Cricetulus griseus: one gene and its partner. The protein of the gene in region 2 purifies or fractionates together with the protein of the main gene of each other region. This does not show direct contact. Links are inferred from orthologs where the notes say so. Each region holds a gene or a part of one and is shown on either strand. Other genes may lie near its edges.

Region 1 (3,749 bases), on a different chromosome or scaffold from region 2:
CTCCATCCAGCTCTACTATTATTTTGTACGTGGATGTGGGGTTACACAGTCATGAGGTTAGCATTGTTTTTCTCACCGTCTCATTTTTTCAAAGACATCTTTTATTTGCATGGCTTTTTGTATGTAATTTGCTTGGTGCTCTGGAGGCCAGGAGAGGGCCTCAGATGCCCTGGTACCACACAAGGTTGTGAACCACTAAGTCGGTGCTGGAAACCAAATTTGAGTCTTCTGCACGAGCAACAAGTGCTTTTAATGGTTAAGCCATCTCTCTAGCACATTTACTTATTTATTTGTTTATTATTTATTTATTTATTTTTCGAGACAGGGTTTCTCTGTGGCTTTGGAGGTTGTCCTGGAACTCGCTCTGTAGACCAGGCTGGCCTCGAACTCACAGAGATCCGCCGGCCTCTGCCTCCCAAGTGCTGGGGTTCCAGGCGTACGCTCTCAGGCCCGGCTTCCACCACTCGGTTTCTAAGACCGGAGTCCTATTTCAAAAGCTAATGAAGCGCCTAGAAAATAAGGAACTCTGAGCTTCACGCTAGTAAGATGCTCGGGATGGGGAAGCAGGCTTTCGGGCGGGGGTGGGCGGGTCCCGGCTACTCTAGCCCTTAGGCCCCGCCCAGGCCGCTTCGCGTACGGTTGGCGCCAAACTTCCCATCTCTTCTCGCAGAGGGAGTTCCTGACTCTCGCGAGAGGCGCCGTTCGCGCGCTCGGCTGTGGCTGCGGTTCTTGTGAGGTGAGACTCGGTTCTGTGAGGGAGTCTCTGGAACGAGAAGCGGCACTCGAAGTTCGCTGCTGGGCTGCGAGAACTGGGGTCGCCACAGCTAGGCCGCAGGGCGGCTGAGGAGGAGCAGACGGAGCGGGCGGGAGGCGTCCGGGGCGGGAGGATGGCGGGCCTGCCCCTGAGGCGGCGTCTTCTCGGCGCGCTCAGACCCTGGGACCAAGCGCCGGGACAGAGAATGTGGGGTGAATGAAGTTGACTGGATGGGAGGGAGGATGAGGAGGCTGGAGAAGACGGAAGGGAGATGTGATACTTTTAGGGAGGCACCCAGGCCGAGTCAGGGCGCTGGGCTCCTTAAAGGTGAGGCGCCTCTCCACGACCGCTGGGAAAGTTGTACGTTTCTTACGAGTGTGGGAAGGATGTTGGATTTGTTACCCATACTTCTCTGGGAGTTTGAGGACCAGGAGGGGAAATAGACATCAATGTCTAAAAAGATGTGTGACGGTTGTCAGGGGGAGAAAGAAGCTTCGTCAACAACTAATTCTTTACATATACTAAGAGAAACCAGTTTATTGATAAAAGCCCTACCGCGTGCTTTACTGATTACTTGCTAGTAATTGTAGTTGCAAGTCCTGTTTTCAGAACTTCCATTAGAGTGGAACTACATAGCCGGGCATTGGTGGTGCACACCTTTGATCCCAGCACTCGTAAGGCAGAGGCAGGCGGATCTCTATGAGTTCGAGACCAGCCTGGTCTACAAGAGCTAGTTCCAGGATAGCCTCCAAAGCCACAGAGAAACCCTGTCTCGAAAAACAAAACATAAAAACCCAAACTATCTATCTATATGTCTGCACTTGATGTTGCTAAAGATAACCTTGAATTTCAGAGCCTCTTGATCTGTCTGAGGACTGGCATTACCAAGCCCATGCACCCCTATACATACACCTAGTTTATGGGGTACTGGGAATTGAACCCAGGGCTTTGTGAATGCCAGCCAAGCCCTCTACCAACTAGGTTACATCTGCATTCTGTGTTGTGCATGTGTACAGACAAGGACTGTTGTCCATACCGGCTTCCTGGGTTCCTACTTTAGACTCCTAAATGTTGGTATTACAGTGCATATCACTGTTACTGGTTTGGAATTCTTTTTTAATTCCTTTTTTCAGTAAATAAATATTGAGTATCTGTTGTGTACTGAATTTAGGACATAGTGGTGGAACACAAAAAGACCTGTCTGATTTTTGTTCTAAGGGGCTACATTCAATTGTAGGAGAGTAACATTAAATAAATAAAACTTAATAGAGAAACGATGATTCCTATAAAGCTTATGCATGGTGATGTTAATTCTTATAAGAGGATTCTGGGCCATCGAGGAGGCTTATCAGGTAAAAGTGCTTGCAGTACAAATCTTACTTGAATTTGATTCCAAGATGGTGAAAAGAGAATTTCTGGAAAGTTGCCCTTAAGGCTTCCACTTGCTCACACACACAGGGTTATTCAATTTAGGGACATTTGAACGGTCTCTTTCTCTAAGAGTCTCAGGCTGGCCTTGAAGTCGTGTAACTGAGGATGGCCTTGAACTCATTTCCTCTTGTCTCTACTTTCTGTGTGTTGGGATTACAGACTGTTTCATCACTCCTGATTTGAGATAGATTTTCCTGATGAGAGGTCATGGTTAAAATGTGAAAGAAATTAGGGATAAAGGAAGAGCTTTCAAAGTACATGTAATGCTATCACTTGGGGAGGAAAGGCAGGAGGATAAGGAGTTGGAGGCCAACTTGACCTATATAAGACCCTATTTCAAACAACAAAATTGGTGTTCAATGGGTGAGATTTACTGTGCTTGAAAAGGACCTGGGTTCTGTTCCCACCACTCAAACCTGCTTGTAACTCTTAGTTTCTGATGATGCATCATCCTTTTGCTTCTTTGGACACCTATACATGCATGTTGCTCATAACACACAGGCAAATAGATAAGTAAAAATAAATCTTGCATACTCCCAGTATGCAGGAGGCAGAGACAGGTGGATTTCTGAGTTCAAGGCTGGCCTGGTCTACATAGTTCCAGGACAGCCAGGGCTACACAGAGAAGCCCTTTCTTGAAAAAACCAAAACAAATCTAAAGCAAAATACTGTTCTACCAAACGTGAGTGAAATAAGGTAGACCCTAGCTCTTGTAGACCTAGCTGGTCTCGAACTCACAGAGATCCACCTGCCTCTGCCTCCTGAGTGCTGGGATTAAAGGCGTATGCCACCACCACCAGGCTTGTTTGTTTTTGAGACAGGGTTTCTCTGTAGCTTTGGAGCCTGTCCTAGAACTTGCTCTGTAGACCAGCCTGGCCTTGAACTCAGAGATCTGCCTGCCTCTGTCTCCCAAGGGCTTTGACTAAAGGTGTACGATGCTGCTACTGCCATCTGGCAATATCCAGGTTCTTTACAGTAGAGATAGTTTTTGTAAGGAATTTAAAAAGTATGAGAGAGAGGGGGTATGAAATGAAGTCGGCATAGTATAAATTTTATTCTTTTGTTTGGTTTTTGGTTTTTCAAGATGGTTTCTCTGTGTAGCTCTGACAGTCCTGGAGCTGGCTGGATCTGTAGACCAGGGTGTCCTCAAACTCAGAGATCCACTTGCTTCTGCCTTTTGAGTGCTGGAAGTAAAGGTGTGTGCCACCACTGCCCAGCTAAATTTTATTCTTTTATATTCATTTTTGTTTTGTGTGCATTCATGTTTTGTCCAAATGTATGACTGTGTGAAGGTGTTGAATCCCCTGAAGTTGTAGTTACAAGCAGTTATAAGCTATCATGTGAGTGCTGGGAATTGTACCTGGGTTCTCTGGAAGAGTAGCCAGTGCTCTTAACTGCTGAGCCATCTCTCTAGCCTCCTTATTTTTTTATTTTTTTTCCTTAAAGGGTCTCTTGGTTCAGGCCAGCCTTAACTTGCTATGTAGCCATGGCTGACCTTGGGTTCCTGATTCTCTTCTTTCAAGTGCTGGGTTACAGTTGCCACTATGCCTAGCAAAAAATTATT
Region 2 (3,649 bases):
ACATCGTTATTCTCGAAGCACTCAAGAGACAGGAGAGCTTGTTAAGATCCCCACACCGTATCTAGCTTTTTTTTTTTTTTTAAGGCATTAAAACTCTGCCTTAGAAGAGCACTTCATCCTGAGAATGTAGTGTGGAAGAATTGATGTGGGCAAAGAAAAGACTTTACCCAGCTCAAGCTTAAGTCATTTGTGTAGCTGTAGTCACAGGGGGCATGTGTGGTTTCCAGCTATGGCTTAGAGTTTAGGGGATTCAAGAAATAGCTCATTTTATACTCCTCATTTTTGTTTTGAATCTGATATACTCCAGTAACAGTGATATTTTAATAATTTGATAGAATATCTCCTAGAATGTCTGTATTGCTTAAGCCACCCTCTCGAGTAGCCTGCATCCATCTATTTAACGGTGCTGATAGCTAGTATTGCATCATATGACAGAATCCCATAGTAGTTTAACTAGAAACAATCGTGTCTTTGGTTTGTTTTTGTTGGTTGATTTTCTTCCAGGCTCTGAGCACAACTCCAGGTTAATTGCATGCCCACAGTAAGGTGTTCATATTTCACTGTCAGTAACTGATCGCAGAAAACACAAAGAGGCATGTATGTCCCCTGAACAAAAGGTCCTGTCATTGATCTAGGACAGGTTCAGTGCACACACCCCACCCAGGCAAGGATTATCGGAAGTTTAGATCTTGCCACTAACAGGGTGGAATTTTTATTATAAGAAGGGCTCCTGTCTCCTTGCTCTGTTGATTCTTGATGAGCTATCTTTGTGGCAAATGTCTGCATGAAGTTTTTGAAGCCATAAACTTCACAGTTTTTAGTGGTAAAACCAATTATGAACTCTATCCTCTATGACGGATGTAGCTGTTCACCTGACACAATGTGGCCTAGGGCAGCAGCCACTCTGTTGAGTGCTCTCTTTTTAGGGAGTCAGTCCTGTATGTGGTTAACATTTAATTACCTACCACTTGGGTGTTTGATATGTTTGTGTTTGTTTGTTCATTTATTTGAGAAAGGGCTTTTCTGTGTATCCCTGGCTGGCCTGGAACTCACTCTGTAGACCAGGCTGGCCTCGAACTCAGAGGTGCACCCACCTCTGCCTCCCAAAGGCTGGGACTAAAGACGTTCACCACTCACTACAGCCAGCTCATGTTTTTAATCTCAAGCCCACCACTCTCCGCCACTGCATGTTCTTGCTACCTTCTCCCTGGCCTCTTTTCCTTTGGATTAGCCAATAGCTGGTCAAGAGGTGTAATCAGTTTTAATAATAATTTCATATAAATGACTTAACCTTGATGTTTGCATAAATAAATTCCCACTGAGAAAGCAAATATCTAACACAGCAGATAATGCCTTCTGATGAAGTATGTTGAATTCTACAACTGATTAGGCTTAAAAGATTTTCTACCATGAAAACATTTTTGGCTGACTCATGAAACAAAAATGTCCCTTTTCATCTGATTCATTTCAGTGATTGAGGTAAAGGCTCGAAGCCTGGGGGACTGCGCCAGGGTGGCCTTCTGTTGCTGACTCTGTTCACTGCTTTTTTTTTTTTAATATGCAGCCCAGTTTGGGGCAGGGGGTCTGTGGTATTTGGGCATTGTTTGTCTTGACCATGGGGTCATGTGGGAGTGGAGGTCAAAACAAATGAGGTCAAAAGAAAGGCCATTGTAATTCTTCAGGTGTGCTGGGACCCAGATGGGACCCGGTAGTGACAGAGCTCGTGGCTGGTATATCCAAACAGCACATTTGAGAAGGATGCAAAGTTCCTGTCACCATTGCTTTTGTTTTGTTTTTTAGGTTCGACTCAGAAGGACAAGCCTTAGATGGTGTTTCCATCTCTGACCTCAGGAGTGGAGGCGCTGGAGGGAACAACACCAACTGGAAAACTTTGTATGAGGCTAAATCGGAGAACTTGGGCCAGGGTGACAAGGTACCTCACGTCTTACTTCACAGAAGCCTAGAAAGCGCTAGATGGTTGAGTGTTTAAATCTGCTTTCAGGTGCTAGTTCAGGGCTGTGTTCTCATCTGGGATCCCAGAGCCCTGTGCCAGAGCGCCAGTTACTGCTTCTTGTTGTTGGTGTCTCTGTCACTGCCAGTATAGAGGCTGTGTGTGTTGAAGGGTGTGTTGTGGCCTCTCGTGTGAAGTAGAAAAGTGTGACAAGTTTCTGGATACTGCGGAAATGGTGGTGACCAGGCTCTGCAGTGTAGTGTGAACTGGCCTCGGGTTCATGTTAGTGTCTGAGCAGAGCATCAGTGTCAGGCTGTCAAGCATCAGGCAGCTCCTGTGGGTTTGAGCCTGAGTTGTAGATGGAGAGCAGCTGCTATCCTGCCAAGGACTGGTATTTGACTTTAGTTACAGCTTTCTGTTTCAGTGTTCCTCCCTTGGCCTAACCTGTGTTCTGCTGGATATTTGAATCATTTATTTCTATTGTGCTCCCTAAGCATCACTTGCTGCGGCTCCTTTATTGTCATCATATACAATATAGGTTTTCTTCCTTACTGTCTCATTTCACTGTGCACTCGATCCATCATTGTCATCCACAGCAACTTATAATACTATTATAGAACATCTTGAGAATTAAACATTGGTTGGATTCTGTTTCTTTTGTCAGCCAGTTGCTCTCTTAAACTAAAGATAGACAGTATGCAGTCAGAACTGAGCATACACTGTTAAATCAGGCTTCAAGTCTGCATCTTACCTGGAAATAGAGAGAAACTCTTTAGGCATTCTAAGGTTTAGCTCTCTACAGCTTTTTCCTCACAATTTTTAAAGTCATTTTTCATTTGCATTTTCCACTGCAGTGTATGGAATTCAAACTGAGCTCTCCCTGTGAGTCCCAGGGACCAGGCTCAGGTCATCCGGCCTGACAGCAAGCGCTTTCCCCCATGAGCTGGCATATTGGCCCCAGCTTGCTTTCTTTTTAATGTTTTTATTTTATGTGTATTAATGTTCTCCCTGGACCCAGCTGGACCCAACACACAAGTTTTCAGGACTCTGTGTTTTCAGTTTATGTTCAGTGGTCAAGTAACATATGACACAAACCAAATGAGTGACTGGTGTCTGAGGAGGTCAGAAGAAGGCATCAGATCCCCTGGAACAGCCACCATGTGGGTGCTGGGGAGCTGAATTTGGTTCCTCTGCAAAAGCAACCAGTGTTCTTAACAGTGGATCCATCTCCCCACCCAGCCACCCCAAGCCTTCTTATGTACTCAGTTCTGTGGAGCTGAGGGTTAAACCCAGCTCCTCGTGCATGCCAGTCAAGCTCTTCCACTGAGCTACACACCCAGCCCTAAAGCTGTCTAAACTGGGTACTAGCATAGTCTTTTTAAATGACCACATTGTTTTGCACCTCTGGTCTGAGACATCAAGTAGACCCAGTGTGAGCCAGGCATGATGGCAAATGCCCTTAATCCCAACACTTGGGCAGCAGAGGCAAGTGGGTCTCTGTGAGTTTGAGGCCAGCCTAGTCTGTATAGAGAGTTTCTGCATAGCCAGGGCTAATTAAAAAGGCCCAATGGTTTTGATAGCCTAGCTCTGAATTCAGGGTATTCCTGGATTCTGCAGTTACTTGACCACTGAACATAAACTGAAAACACAGAGTCCTGAAAACTTGTGTGTTGGGTACAGAGGTAAAGCGGATCCACT

The links.
Region 1: the proteins of Rpa1 (region 2) and Tipin purify together in Homo sapiens (affinity purification with western blotting; 4 studies listed by BioGRID and IntAct, with this or other methods). This does not show direct contact. The link is inferred for Cricetulus griseus from reciprocal best matches to the Homo sapiens genes RPA1 and TIPIN.

What each region holds. Positions count from the first base shown.
Region 1 is NC_048597.1:175,901,635-175,905,383, forward strand, and holds the start of Tipin (TIMELESS-interacting protein), read left to right. Parts: upstream 1-981; 5' UTR 982-984; coding exon 985-1,081; intron 1,082-3,749.
Region 2 is NC_048600.1:88,760,353-88,764,001, reverse strand, and holds part of Rpa1 (replication protein A 70 kDa DNA-binding subunit), read left to right. Parts: intron 1-1,800; coding exon 1,801-1,933; intron 1,934-3,649. UniProt on the Homo sapiens protein: As part of the heterotrimeric replication protein A complex (RPA/RP-A), binds and stabilizes single-stranded DNA intermediates that form during DNA replication or upon DNA stress.